Astyanax mexicanus: one gene and its partners. The protein of the gene in region 3 interacts with the protein of the main gene of each other region in a pairwise test. Links are inferred from orthologs where the notes say so. Each region holds a gene or a part of one and is shown on either strand. Other genes may lie near its edges.

Region 1 (11,074 bases), on a different chromosome or scaffold from region 3:
TTTTTAATTTGTTTCTCATACCCATTCATTGACATTATCATGAACATGCAAATAAAAAGTTTATCAGTTATTTAATTAACCATTTGTTCACCTTAAGCTTTCTCAGTGGCCATGTGTGGCTGCTGGGCTTCACTCCAACTAAACAGAAGCAAACATGATTAATTGTTGAAGATTAAAATAAATATATATCTTCCATTTGTCTTTTTCGGTAAAATCAGTTGTTTTCTTTACTACTATAAGTTATTTTATTTTAACTGCCTTCATGAAGTGAGAAATATTATTGTAAATAAAGAAGAAATTGTTGATATATGCTTATTTCTTGGAAGGGCTCAGTTAAACAAGTAGAACCATGTGTGTTACGCCTAGTTAGGAATAAAAAACATGCAGGAACACCAGTCTCTTGTGGATACAAACAACTCAAAAAAAAAAAAAAAAGAGTTCTGATACAAAACAGATAATGAGATCCAGATGACAGAATACAGTCAGCCTTGTTGAATGTAAAACCACACTTATGTTAAGAGATTTTAACAAGCAGGACAAAAACATGTTGAAATATCGGGCTAGACTTAAAACCACCGAACTATGATCTGCAAACTGAGAACCCTTGCCCTTGAACCACTGGTGAATCTTCACAGGTGCAATCGGCCTGACAAAATTTTCTCAACAGCTGTAACTCATGTAAAAGCTTCAAGTACATTATTCAAATAACTGCAGGTCTCTCTGGGCTTAGCTAAGGTTAGTTTTAATGACTTCACAGAAAGAAAAGAATGAGGCAAAAGTGATGTTCAAGGAAGAGCAGCAAATAAAAGTTACAATTAAACAAAGCATCAAACAAAATCTTTGGAATTAATTTAATGCATAGACCAATTTTATGTGTAATTAAAAAACAAAAAAAAACAGTGTTCCCCTTATACGAGCTTTATGCTAACTCTGCATTCACACATGTAAAAATACATGCACTTGTATGCATCATTTTATGCCATAATATTAAATTATGTTAGATACAGCTAATGACAGCAGAAAAGGGAATCTAAGAGCCAGAATGGTATCTGTGTTTTATGCCCAAACAAAAAACACATAAAACCTGATTATCATTACATAGCCAACCAGCATTGTTGCTAATTGTTGATGCAAAGTGTTGGGATAAAAACGTCCATTAGCCTTGTAGCCTAAATTTAACACAAGGTGTCTTGGCTAATTAACTACATTTGGGGAAAAGTTGTATTTTAAGCAGGCAAACTTCATAAACTCAGTATGATAATGGTAGTTATTTGTCAACAAAAATAAAAATACTTTACATATTTTTATGTTTTATATTTTATTTTAAGTCTAAAACAAAGATGTTGAACAAGTGGAATCAAGTTGTGCTTTGGAATCAAAACCTACAGGTCACGCTGAGAATAATTCTAGAGCCCATATGGGAGCTGTGATGATGGAACATGACTGGTACCTCCTCAATATACTGCAGGTCTGGATTAGCTGAGATGTTGCTTTGAGGTTCCTCCTGTAAATCAGCCTCTGGAGCAAATGCTTGGATAGGTACTTCTGGCTCACTCGCCCCCTCATCCTCTCCAGCACTGCCGCCTTCTGGTCGACGCATGATCTGCATAAACAAGCACATGGGGAAAGTCATTCGCAGTTTACTGACCCTTACTGATTATAGACAGCTGGCTGCCTCTTATATAGATTCTCTCTACATTCAAGATTCAAGAGTTTTACTGTCATATGCACAGCAGAAACAAGCAGTTACGCTGATAAATACAATTCTTACGTTGCAGTTCCTTGCAGTACACTGCCTGGGCAAAAATTTGGTTGGAACGCCTTTAGCTTTGATTGCGACACACATTCGCTGTAGCATTGTTTCAATAAGCTTCTGCAATGTCACAAGATTTATTTCAATCCAGTGTTGCATTCATTTTTCACCAAGATCTTGCATTGATGATGGGAGGGTCTGAGTATTATCTCATGCTCCCTGAACCACTCTTTCACAAATCCAGCCCCGTTAATACTGGCATATTTCATCTTGGAATATGCCCGTGTTCATCAGGGAAGAAATAAATTGATGGAATAACCTGGTCTATATTCAGTTTATTCAGGTAGTCAGTTGACCTCATTCTTTCAGCACATACTGTTGCTGAACCTAAACCTGACCAACTGCAGAACCCCCAGATCATTTGCTTAGTTAAATACACATTGAAGTACAAATAACAGTAAAGCTAATTAAAGAAAAACACTATTAAATTAAAAAATACGTTGTGTGAGTAAAGTGCATATGCATGTGTAAAGTGTTGTGAGTACAAAAAAAGAAAAGAGTAAACATTGTTGGTACAGCAGCAGCAGCAATGTCTCATTAAATAGTGGAAAAAAGGTGCATTTGTTATTGTTTCTGATTCAACCCACTCTGAGAAAAAAGGAAATTATTCTAAGAATATGTTGTTGTTTTTTTTATTCTCTTATCTTGATCTATATTTTGATAGCTAGTGGAGCGCTCAGCTCTTTTTTTTGTTGTTTAATGTTTTAATGGTTTCAATGTAACTAAAATGTACAGGAAAAAAATAATACGAATCAATCTAAACAAACAAACAAACCTAAAACATTTGTTGATAGCACACCAAGGATAATAAGCACACATGTTTTAAGCTATGAAGATTCTATAAAATAAATACAGCAATCATTACAAAAGTATAAAAAAAACTACTTAATATATAGGTTACCAGTCAGATTTAAATATTCTAGTTACTGCCTGGTTCCACATTTCATAGCATCATTTGATATTTTGCCTTCTTTAAATGTATTGAAAAAGTATTTAATGGAAAATGTTTATTGGAACGAGTGTCCAATACTGAAAGTATTGGACACTCGTTCCAATAAACATTTTCCATTAAATACTTTTTCAATACAGTTAAAGAAGGCAAAAGTGTCTCTTTCCATTAAAGTAGTTAAAATAGTTTTCTTACTAACTAGTTTACCTACGCTCTTAGCTTAGCTACTTGCACCCTTGTGCAAGTAAGTATACTTAAGAGCAATAAAGTATGTTCAAATTGGGTAAAAAATACTAAAAGTGCATTTTCAATTTCAAATACTTTATAAAAAATATATATTAAATATACTTTCTCTGTATTTACATAAAATGTATTTTTAAGCAATGCTTTAAATGATGTGTTGATTGAAAAATATATATATATATATATATCAAGTCAAGTCAAGTAGTTTTATTGTCAATACTGCATATGTACAGGACATACAGAGAATTGAAATGACGTTACTCTCCTTCCCAATTTTACAGCAAGTACAGATAATAGATATAATAAAGGAAAATGGGAGACACTATGTGTACAATACAGCAGGGACACAAATAGACATACATGAGACAAAAACAAGGTGCAGTGGTGTGGGGGAGGAATAGATATATAAATATAAGTAAATAAGTAAAAAAAAAAAAAAATTATATATATATATATATATATATATATATATATATATATATATATATATATATATATATATATATATATATATAATGGCATTGAATACTGCTTAAAGAGCACTTTAGTGTATTTTTTCCAGTAGCATTAAGATGTACACATTATGTGCATCAATACGCACAGTAGTACACTTACAATATACTTCAAGTGTATTAAAAAAGGTGTTAAAACTTAAGTTGCTTCAATCTACTTTAGTTCACAGAAGTAAAAGCACTCAAAAGCACAATTTAATGCTTTTACGTTGTGCTTAAATATAACGTTACCTTAATTACAACTGAAATATATTTAACTTAAGTTACCTTAAGTTGTTCAAAAATAGTACATTTGGTATTTATTTAAGTACATATTTTAATTTGGAAAAGTATGTACTTTTCCAGGTTAAGCATATTTTTAAAATATACTTAATATACTTTACTTTTACAAGTGTAGGTAACTACCTGCATGGCCTTTATTTGTTTTAAATTGACAATTAGGGAAAACAGTGACAAACTATTAGAGAATTTGTCATATTTATTCACACACTCACACACACTTAAACAACCCACAACACAACCCAGCTGTTTACTCTCGTTAACTGAGTTGAAAAACGCGGTGTGGGTAAAGTTCATTTAACAGGCAACTCAGCTAATTAACATAGCTAACTAGCTTAATGAACTAGTTTATGTTATTTAACTAACAAGTAATAGTTAGCTAGCTAACAAACCAAACCTAGTGATTAGCTAACCTAGCTAAGCTAACTAACTTAGCTCGGTTAGTTACAGTTAACGTTACATTTATTGTTGCTTCTTAGTTACGCTAAATAAGTGCCTTCGACTTACCGTCTCTCCAGAATAGGTTTTCTGCTTCACGGTAAAAAAAAAAAAAAAAAACACAATAAAGCTACACACCTCCACAGGAAGATAAATCTGTTTAAAGCTCGCTGTTATAAAGCGCTTCACTAAAACAGTGAAACTATTAAATCTCAGTTTGAGCTCTGTTGATCAGGAGGCTGCCGCTGTCTCCATACCAACCGCTCGAGACTGTAGATACAGCTCTCTCCACTAGAGGCCGCCAGAAGAGCATCAGTAGATCCAGAGGACATGCAAGAGATAAATGACTGATTGAAAAAACAGACACTCTGATGTGCTTAACACCACAATCCATATAGTCAAAGCTTAAATCTAACAAAATATGTGATTTCACCACAATATCTACATCGAGATATTTGCTCCATCGAGTTTTCAGATGGGAGAAGAAGTGTGAACGCTGGCATTTGGTTTTGGATGATCATGCAGATCTTGTTTGTACACAGATTCAAATGACAGTGATGGGCCACATCAGTGCCAATAATAGGACCAGGAGGGGATAAACATGAACCCCAGCTGGGTTTTACACTGCACACAGGGAGCCTACAGGGTATTTAAGGTGGTATGTAAAACACAGTAAAACATATGTACAAACCAGTACCAGTAAAAACATATGTGCACGCAATGAGGTAGAATGCAAGATATATACTAACATGTTTGCCTGTTTTACCTCGTGTTTGCCTGTATTATCCCATGTTTGCCTGTATTGCCCTGTGTTTGTCTGCATTACCCTGTGTTTACCTATATTACCCTCTTGTTTGCCTGTTTGACCCCGTGTTTGCCTGTATTATCCCACGTTTTCCTAGCTAGGTTAGCTAGTTATAACATAAATTAAAGTTAGGTTCGCTAGTTATGATTTATAAATAAAGCTAGGTTAGCTAGTTATAACATATATTAAAGCTAGGTTAGCTAGTTATAAGTTATAAATTAAAGTTAGGTTAGCATGTTATAAATTAAACCTAGGTTAGCTAGCTATAACTTGTCAACATTGCTGCTAATGCTTTAGAAAAATGTTTAAAGAACTAAGGTTTCCAGAATTATATATTTATGTAGTTACATAATGTTCACTAGGCTTTTTAGAGTTGGGCTAGCAGCATTAGCAGCACTTTTCACCGGACTTGGAGAGTCGGGCTAGCCCCAGCTAGCTAGCATTAGCAAGGTTAGCTAATGTTGGCTAAAACCTTAACACTTTACGATATTAGTGATGTACCCCTCTATGCAGTTGCTGTATCCTGCTCTTGTTAATAAACATCCCTCTTCAGCCCTTTTTCTAGATGGTTCATGGTTAAACGTGGTTATAGCTGAAGATATGTGGTCCACACCATTGTTGAGTGTGGACTTACTTCTACTTCCTCCCATCAAAGCCTCACTTTCAATTAAAAATGGCGGCTGCATGAAAAGAGCAAATGGGTTCCACGTTGGTCCCACATATGGATGTCAGTAATGGGCTCCATCAGGGCCAGTGATGAAATGAGGAGGGGTTAAACATGAACTCTTGTAGAATGAACTCTGCACATGAGGCCCAGATGGGACCCATGTTTGATTAAGGTGGGCTGTAATGATAAGGCCCATATGGGGAAGCCTAACTGGGTCCCAGTAAAAAGTTATGTATAAATACACTCCTGCCACCCTGCAAGCCCTACATTCCTCCTCACTGGTAAACTACAGAAATATACTGGTTTCATCCCTGACTATACCTAAGGTGTCCTCTAGGGGCCAGAACTAGCCCATTTTGTAAAATAACTCCCAGCATAACATCATAAACCAATGAGTTTTTACTGCTACAGTGATAAGAGAATTGTCCATATCAATAAACCCTTCTGTTTTTCTCCTTCTGCTTATCGGTAACAAAACAATATCATCTGCCAAATCTCAAAGCCTTCTGTCTCTCCACAAGCCAAGCCACAAGTCAGACCTCCCTTTATTTTAGTACACTACCCTTTAATTTAGTTTTTCCAAGTCCTGTCCCTCATTTTCCATTTCCTAAACCAAAGTATATCTTCATTTAATTGTTACCTCCTTATTGCAGCTTTGTTTGGCGAGCTCACCAAACTGCCTTGATCATATCCTTTTTATGTACTGTGACCTTTCACCCTTGCACATATCTGTTTCCTATCCTGTTTATTAGTGCCAGATCATGTAGAAAACTGACTATAAGTTTCTTCATATTACTCAAGGATGTGTCCTGACCTATACCTTGGAACTCATCCATGAATGAATTCCATCCTGTCTTCTATTCATCTTCTCTGCTGGTGTCTCCACAGTCCTGAACATAATCAGTTCCTCTCTTCAGCTCATCAGGAAAATGCCATGCAAATGTTTATGAGCAGAACTTTATAGTTGCCATATGTTTTGCAAAGATGACTGTTTCGCATACTTTGTACTCAAGAGAATGTCTGTCAGAAGTTCCAGCCATTCTTAAATCAGGAACTTTTTTTTTTAATGGCAAGTTACTTTAGCAGTTAGCTGGCTTCGTATCTTATGTGAACAGGATGTATGTGGACCCTAAAAAAAACTTAAAATGTCTTAAAAAAAAGATTAGAATTGTTGATCTATGGTTTGGTTTAGTTTCACATATTGCATTATACAGGTTCCAAATTTGAAATGCAAGTTGATTGAGATACTTGCTGATTTAACGGCAGACTAACACAGAAAAAAACAGCATCATTTATAGTCCAGAGAGCTAATATTTTCATTAAGGTTTATTACTTTTTAGCTAGTGTTGACAGTACTGTAGGCATGGAGAAAACCGTAAGCATGGGGGTTAGATAACCCCAATTTTAAAGTGGACCTTACTTTTAGTTTATGAACTCTCTGCGCAAGACACGTCGCAATGCTTATTGCTATCTTAAGGCCTCAGCATATTTCTTGTGGATACAATGTTTTCTTGGCTTCAGCTAATAATGTCACAAGCAATGGAAACAGATGTCAACAGTCAGACGTTCATTGCTATCTTGGTAGGCTTCTAATTCACTCACTTTCTCACTGACTCGCTCATGTTTAACAGGTTGCACATGCTCCACTAGGGGGCACTCTGAGTGGTCTTATCATTTTTTGCTGCTTTGCATCAGCAACACTGTGTGTCCTTGCTGTAGAATATAAAGCAACAATTGTAAAATGAGAAATTGTGTTTGGATTTTGTCAGCCGTTTTACACATGTATGCTCTGATCCAGGAACTTCCATCAAGCTAATGAAAATGTCTTTTTGTTTTTTAGGAAAAAAGCAAAAAACAACAAAAATGTGTACCACATTACATCATGAGTTTGGTACACGAGCCGTGATGAGAAAACATCTGTGGTTTTATGAATCAGTGCATGCAGTGAAAAGTGGCACCGTACCCCTCTCAGAGACAAAGTTTTACGAGCATGTGGGAGATTCTGTCTCTGAAGCCTGACCAGAACAGCCCCCAGCAGTGACCTGCTTACGGTAACTCCGAAAACAGCTGAGAAACAGAACTAGAGAGAGAGAGAGAAGAGAGAGAGCGTGAGAGAGACATAAATGCATGATAAATAGAACAAAATTGGTTCTTAGAGAATAGAGACATTGGCAAATAAATAACAAATGTGAGCCAAATATATGAGACATTAGACAGTAGAATGTCTATGCTATAGGTCTCATGGGTTTTTTGGACTGATTCCACTAAAGAGCTTTCTTTCAGAGCTACACAAATAGTTCTTTAAAGAAATACTTCAGCAGTTCTTAACCTAATCTCCATCTGCTGCATCTGTAACATACAGTTGTAATCAACATTATACAACATCCATTGCAAATTATAGGCTTATTAGCTAAATGTACAAGATTTTAGCTTTTTGCGATAAACATGTCAAACAAATACAATTTAAAAGCTTAGCACAACTAATATGACCAGTTGTTTCTCCAAATTTAGCCCAAAATGCCACTTAAACTAAATTATCTTTAAAAATCCACATATGGATATGTCATGACATGGAAGGGGCTTGTCCTCAGCACACTGGAAAAGAAGGCTTGATTGACTTTCCAGACTGTCTGGCTTCCTAAACCATCCTAAACACAGAGTAGAGGATATGTACAGTAATGCCACATGTTTTTAAAAATACATAAAGACTTGACACGATTCATAGCTAAACAGAGCAATATTTAGTTTAAAATGTAGACAGATAGATCACACAATTTGTCACAAAATGTCACAACAATAAATGTCTAAAATATTACATGTACTAAGACATTTCAGTTTTTTGGTGGAATAATAAAAAAAAAAAAGGAAGTTTTTGTTTAGTCACAGAGGTTTGTTCTCATTTGTCAACGAATAGAAAGCACAAATATATTAAACCTTTTTAAAACCCCTGAAGAAGATCATAAAATATTTAGATTTCTGTGAATGTCTCATATTGTTACGACCCGGTCTAGAATCATGTCGTAACAAGTAATGAGAGTGGGCTCTCTCCCCAAACCTTCTGACACTGTGTAAATGCATGAACCAGAATTTTTTTATTGACTTATTGAAATGTGGCTTTAGGGGTGAGCAAAGGTCAAAATAACAAATCAAGCCAACTAATGAAAAAAATTGTTAAAAATACTTATGTTCTGTTACGTCCCAAACCTACCAACAATCCAAGCTGTTGACAAGGTGATGCAGAGAAAAGATTAGATTGTAAAACCCCAAAAAAGGATTTTTATAGAGGACCAAATAGAGCTTCTTTAGAAAACCATAGGTGTCACTTTTGTAATATCACTCCTTTTGAATAGTGTACTGGATTTACCAATGGCTGCAACTGTAATACATTGGACTGGTGTTTTTTTAAGATACACACTTAATGAGAAGAGTAAATGGTAAAATCTAGAATTAAAAATGGATATTAAAAGTAAAGCATGTGTAGACACTCTAAAATAGTACTTGTGTGTGTAAAAGACAAAGATGGGTGGTAGAAAACCAGCTGAAAAGATTGTGGTGGAACAATTGCTGAGCACTGGCCACTGTGTCTGTGGGGGTAGATGGAAGAAATTACCCACGTCTAATGCTGCCAGCATCAAGAGTCTTATGGAAGAGCAGAGGAAAAAAATTCATGTGAAATTTATACAAAAGTACAAAATTATCTCAGACCACAGTGCTGTTATCCTCCATAGCAGTGTTGCTCAACCCAGACCTTAGAGACTGTCAACAGTTTAAATCTATGCCAGCGCTGAACATGTTTCAACCCACTGACCACAGAGAAAATTCTCAGGCCAGCCACTGAACACTGAATTAATTTAACTCAGATGTGCACATAAGTCATATTCCATGTGACTAAAAAACTGTAGTCTAAATCAACAAGTCAACAACCAGAATTTTTGTATTTTATCATTATACATTTTATTCATATTTAAATCATGTATTGCAATTAAGCTAATTCAATGCATCTCTTTTTCAGTGCATGTAAACACAGAAGGTTTGGGAACACCTGCTCATACAGCTCTGGAAAAAAAGAGAACACTTAAAAATGATGAGTTTCTTTGATTTTACCAAATTGAAAAAATATTTTTTTGGTACCCCTTTAAAATAAGACTACATTTATAAAGGGTTTATAAATGGTATACAATTTGTTTATTAATGGTTACTAATTAGGTTGTAAATGCCTTAAAATAATTAATAATCAATTATAACACAAACAAACTTTAGAAAGGTTGTCTTATTTTACAGGGGACAAAGGGGACAAAGTACTCAAATGAATAATATCAGTGTCCTGGTGCGAATGCATGCTGGAATTATATATTCTCACCAGAGAATAACTTACACCCCCTAAAACTTACAGAATATTGATTTGGAAGTTCTTTATACTGCTACATCTCTATTATAAAAATGGTCCTATATGGAACCAAACGTGGTTCTTCTGTGGTATTGCCCAAAAAAACTATTTAAACACAGTATAGGTAAGCCAAATTTAGTTTAGCCCTTTCGTGCAGTGATCACTACAGTGGACAGCTATTCAACCCTTTCAGAACTGAATTATGTTCTAGTGATCCTAATATAAAAAAATTCAATTACCTAAAATATTAAAGTTTTGGTCTAAATCAAATAAAATTAGTAGCCCTTACATTGCCGCGTTGGCTTTAATGCTGCCATGCCCTAATGTCAGAGTTGTTGTTTTTCCTGTGCAGTGGGTGAGGCTAAGATCATTTTTATTTGCTAATAAAAATGTAATGTAATTGTAATGTAATGTAAATATGTCAAATTGAATTAAACAATGTCCAGTGTAATAGTCGCAAGGTCTGAAAGGGTTAAAAGTCACTAATTTCTATGGGCACTGGTTTGGAGGACGATGGTTGATAGAAGGTGAAAAAGTCCATCAGGTTCTGGATGGACTTACCTACACATCTCTGTAGGTAATATTTGTTCTTCAGGGAAGCCTCCTTTTTGCTTTATTTCTTCAGTTCCGCTCCACTTGTTTTGACTGTTAAGGACGGTTAAACACATTCAAATGAAATGTCTGCTGCCTACCTGAGTGGACACATGAATAACTCTTAAACAGTTATATTTAAAATAAAAATAAACCAATGCAATAGTCTTTAGCAGCCTAAAAAGGAAAAAATAGTTGGGGGTGAAGAAAACCACCATTTATATTGTGTGAATGGATTCAATTCACTTGCATAGCACTTTTTGCAGTGGCCACTATAACAAGCTTTATAGAAATTCAGGTCTAAGAACACAGCGACTAAAGCCAAGCACAAACAGCAAGGAAAAATTCCTTACAGCAGCAGGACTAAACCTTCAGACCATTTAAAACTCA
Region 2 (11,092 bases), on a different chromosome or scaffold from region 3:
ACACAACTAAAATGCCCACAGTTAAATTACTCTGATTTTTTAAAGAGCACAAAATACATAGAATCATACAGAAAGTGGATAGTTACAGATTCCAAAACATGCATGTTATTGTATGGTTGTTTTTCATTTGTACATAAGGGGGGAAAAAAGCATTGAATTTTACATTACAGATCAACCTCAGTAAACATTTCTCCCTCTCAATGCAAATAAAAAAAATCTACTGAAAATGGCAAGACAAAGCTTTTTATTGTTAATATACTGCCATCCTTCCTAATGCCACGAGTCAACACAATGGACTATAATATCCAATACTGTGTGCACTTTGTCAAAATTAAATTCAAACCATTTGCACATAAAAAAAACCTATATATTCTATTCCATTAAGTACCATTACTTCCTCCAGTCAATATTCTTTATTTTAACCTTCATATTGGACTGAATAATTTCCTAGTATCTTAATGAAAGCAAATACTGTAGTTCTTTTTTTTCTATCAGCGTTCCAGGTAAAATAAAGGCATTAGTATAAAGGCACCTGTGAACATCAGTGCCTACAGGGCCAAACCATCAAGTTAATGAGACCGAAATAAGGACCGCTGCAACAAAGAGTAGATTTCAACTAATTGAAGTCTCATCGATTCTTCACTGTTGCGACCCAGAAACCAATTAAATCCACCATCTTTAAGGATGAATCAGCTCTTCAAATGCACTCGGAGGAATTGATGAGCGAGGAAATATCCAGAGCAACAATCAAGAAGTGCATTGTGTGTGTACATCTTAATTGCAGTGGGACATGGGACTATGCTAAAAACTCTCTAGCTGCACTGCGCCGTAATTGGATATGGATATTGTATTATGGTATAAAAGCTACCGGCAATCAAAATAAAGATTGAATTTCAATAAAAAAAATGTAAAGAACAATATTAAGAATATTAAGAAGCCTACAATATGAAACACAATAGACATGCATATATTATTTAAATGTTCTGAAGATAGTGTTTAAAAATTTGTTGTACACTACCACCAGTAAAAAAAGCTACTTTGCTTCCTCACATCTTCAGAAGAAGAAATGTAATGTAATGTAAGGACAGGAGATGATGCACATTTAAAGAAATGAGATACACGTCATATGCTTGTCCATTAAAAGGTATACAGGCCACTCACCTCCTGTTAGGTGATGCGAATGGGCTTCTAAGAGCCGCCATGCGTACCAGCTGTCTCCTGCCGCCTTGGGTTCGTACTGCTCTCACAGCAGAACTACTGGCCTCTGGGGTGCGTGCTCCTCGAGGAGTGTGCTTGACTGCAGACCTGGGAGTGCGTCTTGGGGTAACAGCACTGCGAGAAGCCGGGCGTTTAGGGGTGCATGTAGTTGTACAGTCGTTTTCTTCACCTTCGATAATTCTCCCTGGTGTCCGCACCAGACACTCTTCTCGTGATTCTCGGCTTCTCTGAAATTTCTGTGGGTACACAGAAACATGCATTTATAGAATTGGTAAAAAAGTTTAATCCAAACGATAGTCAACACATAAATGTTACTTATGACTAATTTCTTAAACTTACATTTGATGTAGTTACTATACTAAAAACACATACCAATGTAAAATGTTAATTGGATATTTAGGGTTGGTATTGGGACAAGTAGGGGTTTAACATGGGCCTCATCTGGGTTGTACACTACACATGGATCCTACACGTAATAAACCTAAAACACATGATGTGAAAAAAACATCTCGGAACCCAGCTCGCCCTGAAACGTACCTAGCCCAGGTTCCACCCAAATGAGTCCCATATGAGTGTATTAGCGGAGTCTTGGGACACTTTTGGAAAACTGGGCCCAACATTTTATAGTAAAAATCACAACTAAACTAAAACTAAAAATATGTCAGCATTGTTGTTTTTGTATTGTTTTTGTAGCCAGGTTCCCTAACTTTATCCTTTTTTTTTGTTTTAAACTTTCTAGGACATGTGGAAATCCTGGAAACACTACATTGCTGCATGTTTCACAAATGTTGTATTGACCATATGTTCACATTAAAAACACTGAACATACACATATATTCCTAGGGTGGGGTAATATGACAATATTTTATCATATTGTAGTGAATTTGTTATAGTAAATGTTATGCTTTTTCTGAGCATATTGTGGATATCACCAGTACTTAAAGAACATAGGTTTAATTTAATTTGTGGTGTATAACTGGATGACAGGACATTTGGTAGAAGAAAAATAAATAAAATAAAAACCATGTTTAAAGAATCTGTCACTACTAGTGCATTTTGCAAATACTGTTAAATTAAAAATGCCCTAAATATTGTGATGCATTTTTCCACTCACCCAAATTTATTGATATAAATGCATAAAGTGAAATCCCATTTCTTTTTAACTGTGCGTGCTTAAACTTCAAGTTGTGGCTACACATTAGGATCTCATTCCCTCACCTAATAACTTGTTGTCACATATGAACTTGATTTTCTGCAGGATGCAACCTTAGGGTTTCTAAATCTAGCAAAACCAACACTAAGCACTAATACGGCCAAGAGAGTTGAGCTCTTTGAATAGATAATAGTTACTTGGTGTAGTGGAACACTGCCAACCCAGGTAAAACAGAGGGCTAAAAGGCAGTTGTTTAAATGGAAGAGTACCTGATAAGCGCTGCCAATGGAGTTCTTGGCGGAGCGTTTGATCTGAGTCACAGCACTGGTCTTCTTGTTCATCTCGAGGGTCTCCCAGGTGGGATTCTCAGGGACATTGGTGTTGGTCTGGACGGTCTTAAGGGGCAGCCTCTTTCGCAGGGACATCCTGAGAGAGTTGAGGGAGCTGGAGGAGCGGAGCTTGCGGAGGTTCTGCTGAGGAGCTTCAGGAGAGCTGTTCGGCTCCGAGTCCGCCAGGACACTATGAGCCCGCCAAAGACCACTTACCACAGCCGCCATACTGAGAGTCTAACAAAGGGAAGGAGGGGAACCTGGGAAAGGAGGGGACCCAGAAAGAGGAACGTTTGTACATGGGTAAACATTTTAATGTCATATGGGTTAGACATAAGTGTTATAGCTATTAGCTAACTAAAATTCGATAATGTTCTTTAACAAGTTAGTTAATTAGCAGTGCTGGCTAAAACATCTGAGGGGTAAGAAAATAGCTAGCTACATATATAACCTAGCAAACTTACTAACCTAAACTTGCTAGCTAGCTAGCTGACCTATCTAGTGTTAGCTAGTTAAACACTTTAGGCAATTTAATTTTGTTATCATCATTGTGATATCTGTATGTAAATATTTGCAACACAAGAAGGCTATTTTAACCCATTAATTCAAAAAATTTGCAGTGCAGTATACCCTTATGCCTGGGAACACCTTATTTGCTGGTAAAATGTAGCTATGTTAACTAACTACATAGAGCCTTGGATTTGTACATTCCTTTTTGTATGTAGGGTATGCAGGGAATTTGTAATAATAATTTCAAAAAAATCACTTTGTTTAAATAATCTGCCACTTCTAATGCATTTTGCAAATACTATTTACATATTGACCATTTATAAATCAGAGCCTGTAAAGTGACATTGGTCAGTCTAACATTTAGCAGTTTAATTTTCCGACTGTTAATTTTCCGAAATTAGAAAATTGGTCACAAAAACTATTTTTTATAATGTAGTTTGTGTAGATTTTTTCAGTTTACAAGTTGGATTATAACATTAGATGTGTTAAAAGACACATAAAATTAAAAAAAAATTGAAGTTTTAATTTTTCTTGGAACTCTGTTTACAAAAGGCTAAAATAAGAAAACTAAATAATGGAAAAATTGAATAAAAAACATAACTTTACTAAATGTAGGTATGTATGTAATTATGTGTTTTATAGCCAATTTAATTGTTTTAAATTTAGCTTAATACAATCAAAAACTTAAACTGCAAAATTTTACTCAAACAAAGATATCAGGAAAGAGTGCACACTATCAGGAAGACTAACGTTAGGTATTCAGAACACTGGTAAAAGAAAATAATGGCTAAATTAGCTTACCTAGCTAATGAAGATTTTGATCTTACCATTATCTCAATGTTTTATTATTTACTCACAAAAATCAATACAATGGTTCTGTATTACACTAGCTAGCTAGCTAACCTTCGTGTGTAATCCTGTGTAGAGTGAAATCAGATAAGTTAGCTAAGTTAGCTAGGTTAGCTTACTAACAAGATTGATACGCATTACACCGGGACCTGTGCTAACTTAGCTAGGTTAGCTGGCATAGAAAAAAAAAACCTAAGTTAGCTAAGGTTAGTAAGATACCCCAGCCTGGATTTGAACGTTATATACTGATCCTCAGCCTTAACCTGTTTCCCTGACAAACATCTTCCTATAAAAGACTCACTGCAGATAAAAACCCAGCTAAAAAAGGATAAAGACCGATATCTTACCGTTGTGTGTTTCTGCAGGGTTTTAGCACCGGACCGACCGCAGCCCTTTCTCTCCGTGTTTCACTGTTTGAATTTGGCGGACCGCCCTTAAACAATATGCAGGAGCACCACAAGCCCCGCCTCCTGATCCTTGTATTGGCCAATTTACCCAACACTCTCTTCAACGATTGGTATATTTCACCTCATATGTCCCTCCCTCCACTTCTGATTGGTCTATTATTCCGTCATGCTGCGATTAAAACCAGACAACAAGCCAAATAGGCCGAATAAAGGTGATGCTCCAATGCTCTGCATTGTTGCATTCATCCCAACAGGCGCTGTATTGTTATGCTAAACGGACTGTTTCCTTTTTTATTCACACAGCCAGTAACTTTGTAACTGCTGAAATTAACAGCTGCAACTAAAATACAAAGAAAATGCACACAATATGAGTAGTAGTACTTGAAAAAACATTAATTCAGTTTTTAAAAAACAAAAAAAATGTGGTGTTTATGAAACAATGTAGTTTTTTTCTCTTTGTATTGAGAAATGCCCCACTAAAAATGCATTTCTAAAACAATACACAAACTTTTTCACCATTTAATAAATAACACTGTTAGATTTAAAATGAACAATTAATATATGTGGTGTTACTAATAGATAGAACTAACAAGTTTTTGAGTATGTTGCTAGCTAACATGTAATATAGAGTATAATAATATATCCATGAGTTTTTTAAATGAGGTATGCATTATTATCCTACAGAGCAATGCAAAATAGTAGTCGAGCTACTCATACCTAGAACAGTTATTCACAATGGTTGATAATACTGCAAGTACAGCAGCAATGGTGGCTGGCGAACAAAACACCACACAAAACATTTGTGTTTTAACAGCAACTTTTAAGGTTTTATTCACTTTGGAGCATTTCTATTAGTCCATACTTCATTTAATTTTGGCATAATGTAAAGTACAACTGCCAGATTCAAAGGATGTCAAAGTGAATTACATAAAAAATGGAGATACAAGATTTTTTTTTTTTTGCCAGACAGTGATTTACAGACATTTACAGTACACATTCAAATTTACAGTGACCCCTTCCTTTAGTTCGTATTGAGGAAAACCTTTCACCTGGCCTTGAGAATTCGTAATTGTTAGAATTTTAATAGGTTTATATTGCCATGACATTGAGATACCAGGCTGTAAACGTGCCAGGTGTGGCAGCGTCTCCTTTTTACTCAGCAGCAGTCAATGTATAACACCTTTTTAACGAGCCTCAGGGAGCAATTGCACAATGTAATTAGCATTTAGATCTGCATTTTACAAGTGTAAAGAAAGGTCTCTACAAAACTTTATGGTTTACTTTATTCAAATACTTCTATCAAATGACAAGTTCCAAAAATGCAGGACTTGATGCAGACAGTAATGGTGTGTTTTTAAATTAATTTTATTTACATGTGTAGAGTTTCATATGAGAAGTTTTGTTTGGAGATTGTTGTTATGCAGTAGCATTCCAGTAGGGCAGGCCTGTGGTTCAGTTCAGCAACAGTACTTTGAATCCCAAAGGTGATGGTCACTAATGGTGGATTCTTTTAAAGCACTGTGGAGGGAAAAGAGACACGTTTTGTTCTGTGAGAGAATGGTAGAATCAGAGAGAAACATATTAAACAGGGCAAATTGGTGTTTTGAATAATGTTTTTTTTTTTTGTAATTTGTAATGTGTTTTGATCATTAAATGCTGCTTCTTACACTGCATCCATTAACTGCATTAATCAATAAAATATGAAATCGGCTCCAGGGTGCCAACACATTTGTACAACACTAGATTTGAGGCCGAAATGTGTTACCTTCATAACCCTCTGCCATCTGGAAATGACAGCTAGCAGCATTGTAAGGAGCACGACCACAATGCCAGCAATTGTGGGCCACAGGGGGAACTTCATTACTTTATCTGTTAGGAGAAACAAGCCAGTATATTGTACTCAGTGAATCTTCAAACTTGCTGCATTTTTTTAAGTCTCCAAAGTTCAATATATATATTAAGCATAAGAATATTTTAGTAGTCTCTACTTTTGAGTTCTCTTGGAATATTTCAGTTGCATTGCATTTGTACACCCCTTGTTTAATACATTGCACTTAAAAAAATAAGCGCCAGAACATTTTTTTTTTAGCAGTGTGTATTTATTCATATTTACTTGTCGTTTTAAATTACATTTGACAGTGAAATATTATCACAATTTAAGTATTTTAGATTAGTATATATTTGTAATTTGCAATTAGTATTCTAAAAGCTTAGTATTCTAAAATCTAAAAGCTTTCAAAATGCATACATTTCACTTATACAGAATTTTGTTATGAAGTCATATTTCTATTCTTGTCATCTTAATATAACAAAGTGCCAAGGGAAAAAGGAAAGTACTAAAAAAATAATGGGCAAAACCTTTTTTTATTCTTTAAGTAAATCGTCTATTGCTTCATTGCTTGCTTAACTTAATCTTGTAATTTGTTTGCTTTGGAGAAATAAAAATGGATAAACTTGTGTTTTTATGAAAACGCAACCACAGTGAGGTTATCCATACAAAGACGTTTGAAAATTAAATTGAATTGCATTGAATTTAATCAAACTTAAAATTAGTACCTATATCTCATGCTTAAACTATTAAAACTGGCCATACAAGGAAACCTCTATATAAAAACAGGAATATGACGTTACCAGTAATTAAACCTACCTATAAAATCAGTGGAGGACACTGGGACATAAAAAAAACACTATAAACTGCGGAGAAATTGGCACACTCTGGTAGCGCTATCATTCCTAGACAGCCTGCTGAGAGAGGGTGAATAGGCAGTTTTGGAAATTATGAGGATTACTTTAAGGACACACGAACCTCCAACGATGAGGATGAAGGTTTTGCTCTTTAGTCCGTAGGTGGGTGAAGTTGCCTCACAGCTGTACTGGCCCTGGTGTGAACTGCGCTTGATGTTGTAGATGGACAGCTTGGCGGTGACGCCATCATTGCTGGTGTGGTAGGTACTGGTGGAAAGATCTAGCACAGCATCATCTTTCTTCCAGATTACAGCTACTGGAGGAAAGGCCTGAACATTACAGGACAGAACAGCATCACTTTCCTCTTCAACATGCATTTCCTCACTGCCGTTCAGATCTGGGGGATCTGAAAGAAAGAGATTTCACAAATAATAGATTTGTCAATGATTAATAAGCATTAGAACAAACTTGTTCAAATAAAAAAGTGTATTTACTAACAGCAGGAGACAGTGGGATACAACCTAACATATGGTTTCTGCTACTACTTGAGCACAGATGGGGTTAACTGTAATGGGGGAGGTGGGGGGGGGGTCATTTTAACAGCTGTCTAACATTCAGTATAATCTGCGTTGTTTATAGTAGAGCTTTCCAAACTGAAAATACAGAAAGGTTTACCAGATTTCTCCAGAAATCAATAACCCAACATGTAATAATGATAATAATGCACTCTGTGTATCAAAGACTAGAATAAAATAAAGGATTTTGGGCAGATATATTCTATATTTGGTACGTATGTCATTATAAATGAGGACAGTGGGGTTTTTCTTTGTATCAATTAAGTTATAGAATGAATGCATAGTTAAATTACAAATACTTTGAAATAACAATGTTAAAACAGTAGTTTAACATGTAGTTTTTGTCTTATTGATTAATTACTGTTTACCCAAAACCTTGTTTTACTGCTATTCATGCAGCGTGGATATTGTGCTTGAATTTAATTTTACAGTAATTTAACTAATAGGTGTTACCTAAACAAACAACTTAATAATAGTAATTATTTTCATATGAATGTAGTTTTTTGTTATATTTAACATGTATGATAACAGAAACAACAGAAATGTATTCACATCTATCAAGTAGTCCAGTGTCAGAATACTGAAGAGTACAGGCCGGTGAACAGAGGATAAGAAACTCATATTGTTCTCCATTTACAGATACAACAGGTACATAAGTAAATTGTTGTGCTGTAGATAAAAGGTAGATAAAACTGTAGATGTATTGTAACCCCCCTTCTTGTGCCACTCTTCCCCTGAACTTACAGCTGACCTCCAGATGGATGGAGGCTTTCAGGCTAGCATTAGCCTTAAGCTGGCAGGTGAAGATGGCTCCATTGTCCTCTGTGGTAACAGGCTCCACACACAGATGACTCTCTTCCATACGGTTCTCATCTGTGAGGCTCACTAGTCGTTTGTTGCGGTACCACTCCAGTTCACCTCCATCTGCAAGACCCTCAACCATGCAGCTCAGAGACACCGTCTGATCCACTTCTGTCTTAATGATGCTCCCATCTGCTGCTGGATTGGACTGAATTAAGACTGGTGAATTTGAATAAAGCACAAATTAGACAAAAAAGGCAAACAGTGGATAGGACTGAATCATAAACCATGATCAAACAGATGTCTGTAGTTTGAAATACAATGCAAATAGTGAGACAATGTTGATGAAATGTTATCATGTCATAGTTTTCTATGCTATGCCTTCTTTTTAGCTATTTATATGATAAACGAAATGAACATACTGTACTTGTGCTTGAATGCATTTTCTTGGTGAAGATTTGAATCTTTGTGTTTCATTTAAATTTTCTGAACATCTAGCATCTATAAGCAAAAGAACTGAAGTTTATTAGACTCTGTTCTTCTATTTTTCTACACTCTTAGTCTAACATTTAATGAAAGCCCCAGAATCCAGAGATATGACCAATCACAGAGCTGTACAGATCTGTGTATCCATTGGTCATCCAAGTAATACAAGGAAATTAGGTACATTGCTGTTTATGAAGATTATGTTCCTCTATGTTTATAGATACATGTACTAACTGGCCACCTCTGTCTTTTTTGGGCCATATATCATATGTTATATTATTAATGTGGTTTATTCATTTTATTACTATATTTTGATTCATTGTTTTGAGTAGCATTGGTTATCAATTCATTTGTATTGTATGCTCACATTTGGCGTATACTGGAGTTTGTGTTCAGATTTTAACCCTTCTTTTTAGTCAACACGCAAGCTAATGATCAAACCCGTTTCGTGCTGAATCAGGAAAAAGCTGCTTCTCCCTGGTTAGGGGTTTAGAAAAAGTGCTGTAAATGATTTAGCCCATCCTCAGTTATTATGGTTTTAGCCCCTTTTCTTTTCAATTATGCACACTGTATATTTATAAAAAATAATCACATATATTACAAACATAGGGAAGTAGAGATGTCAACCTGTTAATTGATCAAAATCCTGGGTCCAGTCTAAGATAAGTTGATTGGTAGTCTGATTTATGAATATGAATATTTTATACTTATTTGACTGTCATACAAAATGTACAGTACTTATAAAAATTAAAAACAAATCAGCTTCAGAAGGTGTTTCTGATGTTAACTCATACACTAAGCTGAACCTGTGCAACAATATCCAATATAAAAAGCTCTAACTTCTAGCAGTTAATCAGTAAAAAAGGTATGATGGAGGGGAAACAATGTGGTCAAAGGGAAGCTCAAAAATAAAGCATTAAGGTAATAGAGGTGGCTGGTAAGTACTATGACTATACTTTAACTACTGTACTACTTAGAAGTTTGAAATCTTAGAATTTGTTATTTTTTCTTATGTTACATTTAATGAGAAAAGTTATTGTTGCAGTTACATTATTATTGTATAGTTACAAATAGCTTTTTGGGCTTAATTTCTTTATTTTATACTAGTCATCAGTAAATTCACAGTATCTGATTTGTAATCACTTTGACTCTTTGATCACTTTGAAGTTTAAAGGGTTATCTATTTATTTTAGAGAAACTGTAACGCAGAACAAGAAGAATAACGTCTAATAAACTATATTTCCTGTTCTGGTAGATGCTGGATGTAAGAAAAAGCTTCACTGTAAATTTACATTAACAACAGGTTATTGAAGTCATTTTTTTATATTTGAATATAAATCTTCCAATGTAAATGCATATTTTCAACAGTAGAAATATAAATACAGTAACATATGAATTTGTATACTAAGCTTTATACTAGTACTTTAAGCTGTTTTAAATAAGTACATTCTGTATTTCTCACCGTCAGTACAGTGGATACAGCAGGTGCAGAGGAGTAGATGTAGGAGCAGATGGATACAAACTGAAAGCTTCATTTTCTACTCACTTCTTTGTCGTCCTGAATAAAACACCAAAGGAATGTGATAAAAGAGACACTTTTTTCATGTTTCACTTTACAGTCATCTTCCATAAAAATCTTCATTTATCTAAGCAGACGGTTGATTAAATAAACGTTATTTTCTTTCTGTCAGTTTTATCTGAACCAAAGTGAGCAGAGTATTAAATCAGAGTTCAGAAATAGAGTAGAGATGAGACACTAACAGAGGAAATTAAGTGAAAAAGAAGACCTGACTGAGAACACTGAAATGATTTTAAACTACTTACCAAGACTGAGAGCACGGTGAGCTTATAACAGATCTGCTCAGAAATCCAAAGGTTGCTCAGCAGAAGTCTAAAAATGCTCAGGTTTCCTCAGCAGGGGTTTATATTGTGCAGGTGAGCTCCTTTATAGCAGAATGACCACAATCACCTCTCCTTCCCTCACGGTCACGCACCTTCTGTAATGCTGTGCAAACAGGGTGGGTGACTCAGGACCTGCCACTCTAAATTCCTGGACCTGAGATGAGGAGGAAGAGATTT
Region 3 (10,348 bases):
GCAGCTTATAGATCTGCAGTTTGGCACAAAATCAATAGATTCAAACATTTTTTTAAGTTGCTTAACCCTTTAACATCACACTGAAAAACACCCTACACCCTGACAAAAAAGCTATTCTATATTCTATTCTATACTGATTCTGTCAGAACATGGATTAGAATATGCAGCTTAACTTAAAACTAAGATATTTTTTGTTTTAAAGTGTAATTTTAGCAGAAGGTCTGAACTGTAGAATTGCTTCAATCTATTTACTGTGTTTACAATCAGAACTCAGTACTTTTCTAGTTTCATAACATAAAATGCATGAAAATCTTCATCTAGTTTGCCTCAATTTTATATCAAAACTGAATGTGAGAAGGTTTGCATTACCTGGTGATTTCAAGTGTTTTCCTTAATATGGCGGCCAGTTTGCACACCTTAAACAACAACAAGGAGGAAACATTGATTAAATACAAATATTTTACCCAATTAAAATGACAGAATAAAAAGGCCTTACTCATTTAGTCTGAGCTTTGAATTAAGTCTTAATTCTGATCAACAATGAAGTTCAGCAAAACATAAGGAAAATACTGATGTGCAGAATCATTTAAACGTCTTACGTTTTGGTCGACAGCGGAGCAGTCTATGGGTGGATAAAGACTCAGGATCAGGTCATCAACACTGAAGAAAAAAATAAAAAAACAGGCAAAGAACAGCAGCAATTAATTCTGTAGAAAATACATATACATTTTTAGGTCAAATTACAAACGTTCTGCACAATTACAGGTTTTAGCAGAAAATAAGAATCAATTAATTGCAATTTAATAAAATGCAATTGAAATAATCATAATAAAAAGATGTAACTTGCCACGATGATTAGTGGCCCAAAAAAATCTCTGTGCCACCCCGACAAAGTTCACCAAACATCTGGCTCAGACACACCAGTCTATTCTGGCTGGCAGTGCTAAACCATTTTTCAGACCAGCTCGATAAGAGAATCACTGATAAGAGAATCAGCTCTGGTTTATATGAGCAGTACAGCTGTAATAATGAGTGTAGGCAAAGTGAGCCAGAATAGTGCTGACTAATGCTACTAATTCTGATATATTGAAACAGTACAGCAATATGCTTTGCAATACTCTATCAATTTTCAAAAACACAGTATTGGTTTTTAACCATTAGTTTAGATGTAAAGAATAATGTCAGACAGTGGGTTAGCTCTTTTATGACTTTTTTTTATTACCACACATTTATAAATGCCTTTCTCTGGTTTTACTTTCAGTAACTATAATACATTTTTTATTATACTTTTGTTTTAACCTATTCATCATAAGACTTTTTCAATTGGTCTTCAATACTTTGTGCAAGACCTCTGAATGTGCATTACATTGTAAAGGGTTTATAAATAGTTTAGAAATGTTATTTATTAGGTTATAACCCATCAATAAGCAGTTACAACACATAAATAAAGAGGGCAACTGTGGCCTGTCGTGTACCACATTCATTTATACTGTTCCCTACTGGAAGCTCATCATTACCATTTCTGTTAATAACTTTATTTATTCAACTTAAATAACATGAAATGACTAAACTGACTTTCTATATTATTTTATTAGACATGTTAAAAAAGTTATTTTCATCCCTCTATGTGTGTGTTGTGAGTGCTTATTAATGCTTTAAAGTATTTACAACTTAATTTATAACCATTAATAAACTTCTTTATAAACTATTTATAAACCCTTTATAAAGGAGTCTTATTTTAAAGTGGTACCCAAAAAGAAGTAATCCCACAATAGATAATTCATGTTTTTAAAAAAAAACGTACCCTGGGCTGATTTCTCTCGTGATATCAGCGAGGTCGTCTAGTTGAGTAACGCTGTGAGGTGTGTCGACTTTTCCATTTTTATTAACAGCGCTGGATAATTTCCGCAGACATGCTCCAGAAGCCTTAATGAGACCCAGACATTTAGAAATGAGCTGCCGGTCACTCTGGGACCAGTAGGTGTCTTGGTTTCCACGGGCATCAAGGTCATCTTCATCATCATCCAGGACATCATTGAAAGGGTCCTGTTCCTCAGATAGTGCCTACAGGAAGAACACAAAGGATGGGAATAGTTTTTAGACGTATAGTTATTAGATTTAGAGTCTACAGGACTCTGCACTTTGCACGAATGCTCTACCAGAAATTGGCTACCCACCTGGTTCATCTCCTCTAGCGCATCCTTCACCATTCCAACATATGAACTCAATACATGTAACACTGCAGTGCGATTATCTGTTGGGAAAACGGACAAGGAAATTCTACATACAGATTTCTAAGTTAAGAATTTAATGAAATTAAAGGTCATACACACAATTGTTCAGAAAGCAAACACCTGAAGGTAAAAAAACAGTGTTTAAATTTATTTTCAAGGCATTAATAAAAGCCATTAACGTAGCCCAACTTACCCCTTGGCAGCTGAGCAAACTGATCACATGCTGCCCAGACACCTCCTGTAGATGTTAGCTGTTCCTGAGATAAACTAGAACAAACAAATAAGCAAATAAGTAAATATATCAAGTTATTTTATTATGTAAATTAAATACGGTGAAAATTCTAAGTAGGATTCATTAAGATCATTATCTAAATGTAATGTAATGTAATACAACAACAATTATTATCAGAGATGAACAATAAGATGTATTGCCTTGAAATTAGACCATTTTAAATACCTCTGTAAAGGAGAAGACAGGAGGATCTCCAGCAGCTGAACAACACCATCCAAAACTTCCACAGTGGCTTCTCTGACAAGCTTACGCAGAGTAATGCCTGTATAAAACCAAATTCCATATATACATATTTGGACCATGATGCAATTTCTGCAGTTTTGTGTCTAAGTGTAACCTCAATGGATTTAAGGGTTTAAAGCTTTGATTCAAAGGGTTTAACAAAAATATTGCATTTGCTGTTTAGGAAAGGTCTTGAGTTGATTATTGAGTTAAGTGTTGAATTTCTATTTTGTAGTTAGAATTCAAAGCCTAGAGAAAACCCACTGCTAGAGGTCACAGGTAATACTGAATTATTCACTTACTCAATTATTCCTCTAAGGTACCGGTATGTGTCTTGAATACAAATCACACAGTTAAAATGCCACGATTTCTTGGTTAACAGGCAATAATAAAACATAACTTAAATATCTGATTTTATCATGTTTGCCTTGAAATCTATGTAGAATGTTGTGTTTAGTTAGACAGGAAAATTAGTGATTAGAATGAGCAACTTACCTTCACTCTTAGGCAGCCAGTAATAAATTGTAGATAACGCCAGAATGCTCTTCTGAATGGACTCTGCTAACACTTCACAATCCTTGAATGAGACCAGAGAGTCATTGTTATTCAAAATATATAATAGAGGGTTTTTACTGTATTTTAATATCACAGGGCAGTTTTGATGCTTTTTAAATAATAATATTTTAATGTAACTGAGTTTGACTGGGATGTTTGACTGGGATGTTCTAAGTTATGCTAACCTAAGTTTTTATTGCCCATTACTTAACTTTTTTAAGGCAACCGGTTTCCTCAATTTTTTTGAAGTAAATTCAACTTATCCGTGCTTACAGTGTATATTTTATGTATGTATTGATCTGAATCTATTTTGTTTTTTGCATTTGTGAATAGATTCAGAATCATCCACATCTAAATCAAGATGCATATAAGAATCTAAAAATTTGCCACCCCTATAGCACATGGTGGCAATAGCCTGACGTACTTGCTCTGATGGAAGTGGGGGTTTGGAGAAGGCTAGACTGAGTTTTGTAGCTTCTTGTGAAGTAGCCTTTACTGTCTGAGCTGTGGAGTAGAGAAAAACACATATTTCAGTTGGATTATTCCTTAGACAAGCCACAAACCAAAATATATTTTTAGTAAATGTGAACATGAGGACACTCAACTCATCGTTTCCCAGAAGTTTGGTAAGTTAAAGTCCCCGTTAGACTCATTTGATTCTCCATCTGAAAACAAAACAACAAAAGAACTATTAGCTAACATCTAATAGCACTACATCAGTGATACACAGTACTAACAACACATTAATCAGTGAATTGATAGCAAGTGCATTTGTTTCAATCCCAAATACTAAGATTTCACATTTTAACAAAATCTGTTGCTTGCTATACTGTTTAGTCAAGGATTTTGTCTAGTTAGGACTCTAAGAACAGTAAAGACACATGGAAAGGCAGTATTGAATAGACTGGATGAATAGACAAGAATGATAATATTTGGAATTCAGAAATGTGAGGAACAAGTTAAGTTACTTAAAACAGTGGTGAATGATATGAAGTAATGTAGAGGCAATTGTTTCTATAAATTACTTAAGTTTGTCAATTACTAAGAGTATTGCTACTGAATGGTTTGTGTAACGTTACTTATTCCACTATCGCTGTCACATACTGTGACTTTCCCAGTGCTTCTAAGTCCTTATCATGTCAAAACATGCTGTGATACCAGCCCAACTCAGTAAACATAGCCAGTTAGCTACGTAGCTAGATACAGAGTGTTATTCCCAGATGGCTAGTGCTAACTTAGCTAGCTAGCTAGCTAACTAACAGTCTTAAGATAACACGTTTAAATATCCAGTATAGCTAGGTTAGTTATAGTTAACTTTAATGGTTTGGCCGTTATACAGTCTCTTCTACCAACACGATTAATTTACACTAACTTGACAACTTTAGCGTTAGCTAATTTAGCTAAACTGGCTAACCAAGCTGCGTTAGGGTAAGTTATTTCTGACAGCTGAAGGGATAGTTAGCTAGCGTTAGCTACGCTAAGCTAGCTGTTTCCCAGGGCTGTTTACATTACTTTTAGCACACCAGTAATCAGATATATTAACGGAAACTCCGCCGCTCTTACCTCTTACCCGATCTCTAATACATTTTACTGCGTTTAATAAGTTCCGTAGCGGCAGTAAAGAATCTCCACACGAGTTTTCAGCGCTCATAACTGCAGCTGAATCCATGCAGGTAAACTACAGGCGGAACTAAAACACTGGCTACTTCCGGTTAGTTTCCGTCGGAATGTGTTCATGAGGGGCTCCTGTATGTATTTGAATACTGCCTACTCCTGTATGTATTTAAAATTATATATTAAAAATTATTGCAGAATAACTTAACATATATAAAAATGTAGGCCATAAGTTATGTGAATCACCTGCAATAATATATGTGAATAATATATAATATATATAATTTATTTATAAATTTGAAAATGTATGAATCCTATTTTTTGTTTATCTGAAAATTATTTTGGATTTGTATTATGTACAGCACATTTCACCAACTAAAAAATCCCAAAACATAAAAAAGATTAAAATTTAGAATTAAGCCATTAAATACAAAACTTTTAAGCTCTATATAATTCTTCTCAGATTCCGTGAATGTTTACAGCCCATAATATTACATAATTCATTATACATTATACATAATAAAAAAAGTTTGGACACATCTTACTTGTAGTGGTATTTCATTATTTAAAAATTCTGCATTGTATATTAATACTAAAGAAAAACAAAACAAAATATGTTTTATGTTTTAGATTCTTTAAAGTAGACACTTGCTTGGAATGAGAAAAGTGCTCAAACTTTTCACTGGTACTGTACAATTAATGTACGTTTTAAAGAACGTGACAGTTTTTAAATAAATTATCCATTTTGTTAGGTGAACACAAATCAAGATCCTGAACAGACATGTCTCCCTCATCACAGAAAGCTTCAAAATCATTGAACATGAGTAAATTTATATAAAACTTCTTCTTTTGCAGCCATGCTTTCTCAATGTCTTGAAAAAAAATTCTAAATGTCCCTGGAAAATATCTGGTTTAGATGCATTCATTTTCTGCATTAAAGCCACTGGCACCTGTAATGTTCCAGTAGTATTGTACTGCACCATTTACTCATAAATAGAGATATATAATACATTAAATCAATTTAATCAATGTAGGAGAAGTAAGCCAGTAAACCAGAGTCCAGGGGCTCAAACAATGGTCAAAGATGTTTCACCAGTCTTCAGTTCAAACACATTGTAACAGCGAACTTTGTCACACCCCCTGGAACAGACTGAACCTTCCGACAGCCCCCTCCCATTCACTCTGTCAACAACACCACAAAGAGACTGCGTGACAAGAAGAATAATACCAAGACTTACACTACAGAACACACAACACAGTACTGTACCAACCTTAACACAGACCTCAACATCCAGTTCCAGATAACTGAGATAAGGGATTATCAGCTCATTTTTGGATTGAAAATGACTAATAACGATTCTTTCCCCATGTTTAACAGTTCTGTAAAAGGAGACTTTACATAATGGTAGATAACACCATTATCTAATGTCCAATAAACATTGCTCACTTGCTCCACCAGAACTGTGCAGTGTGTCTTTGCTATCGTAACAACAGGAAAAGTATGCCAAAAGGCATGTGCTAATTTTCTTAATTATTCAGGTGTGTGTTTTGGGTGTAACGTGAAATAATCCATTCACCATGTCACTTCCATTCCCTTTAAGAGCCAGGTGTGCTCTGTCTTTGGTGGATAACTATTTTAATGGCGTAGGGCTTCTGAACTTCTCAGCAGATGAAGCTGATCTGCTTGTTCATTCTGTGAAGGTGCTCAGGTAATTTACGGGAACAGCAATGTTTAGTTTTTTTTAGGTAAAATTTGGGTTTGTGCACTACTGCGTGTGTTGTGTGTATGCGCAACGTCCCTGCAATGCCAAGATAGCAATGAACGTCTGACAGTTAGTTGACTGTTGTCAGGGTTCAACTCAGTCAGTGGCGCACCTGTGTTTTCCATATCTAAGAAATATACCTAAACCCACCTCAATTCTACCTGACTTGCTATTTAAATGGCACAGGGGCAAGGCGTGAAAATAGAATACACTAATTTGGTACAAAAGCAGAAGGCATACAAATCTTTGAGGAGCAAAGATGGGCAGAAGATGTTCAGTTTGTCACAAATGTGTGAGAATTATTGAAATGTTTATAAACATTGTATAAACAAGTAGCTGATATCATGGTCAAATGCAGGCAATTCTGTGTTGTATCTTCATTTTATTTTATTTTTTAAGATTTTAATCAGTAAGAAAAAGGGAAAAAAGTTTCATAATGCTACTTATGCCAGAACAAAGGCTTAAATCCACACAGACTGTTTGTGGACAAATAATGGAACACTGAGGTAAAAGATAACAGATTTTATCTGTATTATGTAGCCTTGGTTGTCTGTGCAAAGATGGCTGTTGCTCAGCCGATAGAGCAGAACTAAGTAATTGTTTAAACCAAGAAGTTTATGATGTGATTTGCAAATTGGCCATTTGTTCCTCCCACCGGATCTATTTTTTAAAACCGAGCTCTCAAAGTTCTTTTAGACAAATAACCTCTATATAGATAAACAACCCCCAGGCTCAATGGTTTGAGCTCTACGTGACAATAACAACCCTGTGAAAGAGGTTATCAGGTCTGATGCTGTCAATGTTTAAAGCCCTTGTCTCTACAAAGCTGTGAATGGACGTCAATGGGCAATATAGTTTCTGAGCATATGAATGTATTCTATATAGAATATTAGAGCCCTTCCTTCCTTCTTTCCTTTATACTACACTATATCTATTTTTTTAAAAATAGAAAACTTTTATATATTAAAAAACTAAATTTTGCTTATATAGACTTATTACTACCTCACCTGGTCTTTTTTGCACACTGCAAAATTTGCACACTGTCTTGTTATTTATTATTCTTTGTCTGTATTGTGTTGTATTGTCTGTCTGCACTTTTGTACTGTTGCACTATTGTTCTGTCTACACTGTGTTTATGTGCACCATGGTCCTTGGAGGAACGTTGTTTCGTTTCACTGTGTACTCTGTATATAGCTGAAATGACAATAAAAACCACTTTGACTTTGACTTTGACTTTGACTTGTTTATTCAAATAAAAAAATAAAATAACTTACAATAGAAATAGAAATAACTAAACAATGAACTAAATAATAATTCAATAAATAAGATAACAGACTCATTTGTACAATAATCTTTTTCTTGTTTTAAGTTTTACTTGTGTGTTTTGTTTATGCCTCATTCAAGCTAATCTGTTGGCAGGTTGCACGTTTAGCTAATCTATAATGATCTGTTGTGAACTCTGCTGGTTAAAGCACTACTATAGCGAGTAATTAATGAGGTAATAATCAATGTCCTCTTTTCTTAATGGGTAAACATGAGTATTTTGCATCAGCAAACCTTTGAAATGTGTGGTAAAGGTTATTAGGGCTAGGGTGAACTACACCATTTTAACCGAATTAATAATTCCTACAGGAAAGTCCATCAGGCTTTTAAAAATTAATAGGAATGTGCTCTTCTACAGCGTGTGCATGTGCTCTTCTACAGCGTTCCTAATCAGTGGTGGTGATAAGATGTCCCCAAGGGTTTGTAATGTTTTCAAAAACAAACTCATTCAAAGTTGCTAAATGATTGTTTTTCAGCTGTTTTGAGATGTTACATTTTAAAGTTTTAGATTTTAACCTTTTTCAATATTGCATTTAAAAACAAGATCTAAACTTCATGACAGGATTATGCAAAAATCAGGCATTTAACTGATTTCTATGACCATAAAACTCTACAATAACCAGTGCTGTTATCTCTGGATCTCTCTGTACTCTGTTTTAGTGACTTTAGTTTTTATCAATGGGTCGTTTATCAGGTGGAACAGACAGTATACTGTGCAGAACCTTTTGAATAGACAAACATTACACACGTTCTGTAGTTTTAGCTCTGTATTCCCTGCACCATACATTTTTTAAGGAACCAAAGGCCAAAATGTTAGTATTTTATGTGTAAATCACCACTAATAAACATGGGGGCTCTGCGTGATTTAGCAGACTAAGGCAGTGACAGTACGATCAGGAGATTGTACTGGTTCAAATCCTGGTCCTGGAACTTGCCATCAGCTGCCGGAGCCCCGAGAGAGCACAATTGTCATCACTGATGGAAGGACAAATCCAGAATTATATTATATATTATAGCAAATTATGGCAAATTCTGAAAGTGCAATGTCAAGACATCTATCCATGAGCTGAATCTCAAGAGAACGTGGATCATGCAGCATGACAATGGGCCACAAAAGCCACAAAAGTTGTTCAACCAAAGAATTGTTTAAGAAGAATAAAGTTAATATTGACCTCTTGCATGGTCACGTCTACTATATTGTACTGTGTTCCTACTCCTGAGGGTGTTCAGTGACTTGGACATTTTTTAATCTATCTCCTGATTGAATTTTGCAATAATCTTGCATGGAGTTTACTTTTGTCTTCATGAATTTTAATCAGGAATACTGATTAACCTGTGACTGGACCTACCAGACAGGAGACTTTATTCTACAATCACCTATCTTTTACACATTTACTGCACTGATGTACTTTTTTCACTCTGAATAAAATATTCACTAAAATAATTTCATGCTCCTGTGCTGAATTAGAATAATCAGGCAAAAACATATGCAGCATGCCCTTTTTAAGCACTTTTCACTTATTCTGGTACAGACGTATCTGTCTGGTATGTACCGTCTGTCTGCACACATAACCATAACCCTACTAACCTGTAACCAGCCTTTCTGTTTTATGGTTTATCAGTAGATGGAGCATTCTCTACCTATGTGGCTTATGTTTGTGGTGTATTCTTTTCCTAACTTAAATCTCATAATATTATAACTTTGTTCCTATAATATTGCGACTTTAATATTGTAATATTACAACTTTAATCTTGTAATATTACGAGTTTATTCTTAAAGTCAACTGTTTTTTTTTAAGTGTGGCCCTAAAACACTGTCATATCCTACACTACCTGCACTTTACTTGTTTTAAATTAAGTTTTATTATATGTAGACTGCATACAGATACATTTATTTTCAAACAAATGTGAGACTTGATGTTTTTAATGAACAGTAATTCTATTTTCTTTTATTTAATTTTTCTTTTAGTCTGAGATGAATAAAAACATAAAACCAGTCATGCTGATATCATATTTAAAATATTTAAAATATACATTTTAAAATGAATTATATATTTTTTTTTTTTTGCAGTGCAGGGCAGTTCATATAACTTTAACCCTGTTCTCTATAAGTTCAGATAGAACCTTGCTCTACAGCTCCCAGGTTATCTTTAAATTCCAATTAAACTTCGGGTTTCAACCAAACAACTGGCGCAAGTGCACAGCGTATCACGTTTAACAATCGTCAGCAGAACTGCAGCAACCTTCGGCTCTGCGCTGCGGGGACGAGCCTCCGACCAGCCTCCCAATCAATACCGACCATCCAGCACGTCATCCGGTGACGCTCCGGGGAGAACTCTTGCATC

What was found.
Region 1: the proteins of ccndbp1 (region 3) and ccdc146 interact in binary tests that used the Homo sapiens proteins (3 or more experiments, as listed by UniProt). The two-hybrid records come from large-scale screens. The link is inferred for Astyanax mexicanus from reciprocal best matches to the Homo sapiens genes CCNDBP1 and CCDC146.
Region 2: the proteins of ccndbp1 (region 3) and uncharacterized protein LOC103039245 interact in binary tests that used the Homo sapiens proteins (3 or more experiments, as listed by UniProt). The two-hybrid records come from large-scale screens. The link is inferred for Astyanax mexicanus from reciprocal best matches to the Homo sapiens genes CCNDBP1 and PIMREG.

What each region holds. Positions count from the first base shown.
Region 1 is NC_064409.1:35,911,169-35,922,242, reverse strand, and holds the start of ccdc146 (coiled-coil domain-containing protein 146), read right to left. Parts: upstream 4,512-11,074; 5' UTR 4,304-4,511; intron 1,604-4,303; 5' UTR 1,601-1,603; coding exon 1,451-1,600; intron 306-1,450; exon of another isoform or gene 1-305. UniProt on the Homo sapiens protein: Essential for sperm flagellum biogenesis and male fertility.
Region 2 is NC_064424.1:13,214,073-13,225,164, forward strand, and holds the start of uncharacterized protein LOC103039245, read right to left. Parts: upstream 4,512-11,092; 5' UTR 4,407-4,511; intron 2,961-4,406; 5' UTR 2,929-2,960; coding exon 2,641-2,928; intron 1,455-2,640; coding exon 1,162-1,454; intron 1-1,161. Other genes in the region: tmigd1 (transmembrane and immunoglobulin domain-containing protein 1), read right to left, coding at 5,924-6,013, 6,232-6,335, 7,273-7,557, 8,471-8,746, 10,476-10,548. UniProt on the Homo sapiens protein: During mitosis, may play a role in the control of metaphase-to-anaphase transition.
Region 3 is NC_064412.1:55,152,005-55,162,352, forward strand, and holds the start of ccndbp1 (cyclin-D1-binding protein 1 homolog), read right to left. Parts: upstream 5,039-10,348; 5' UTR 4,973-5,038; coding exon 4,867-4,972; intron 3,969-4,866; coding exon 3,909-3,968; intron 3,808-3,908; coding exon 3,728-3,807; intron 3,326-3,727; coding exon 3,244-3,325; intron 2,789-3,243; coding exon 2,692-2,788; intron 2,502-2,691; coding exon 2,428-2,501; intron 2,255-2,427; coding exon 2,178-2,254; intron 2,065-2,177; coding exon 1,805-2,064; intron 661-1,804; coding exon 600-660; intron 417-599; coding exon 370-416; intron 1-369. UniProt on the Homo sapiens protein: May negatively regulate cell cycle progression. May act at least in part via inhibition of the cyclin-D1/CDK4 complex, thereby preventing phosphorylation of RB1 and blocking E2F-dependent transcription.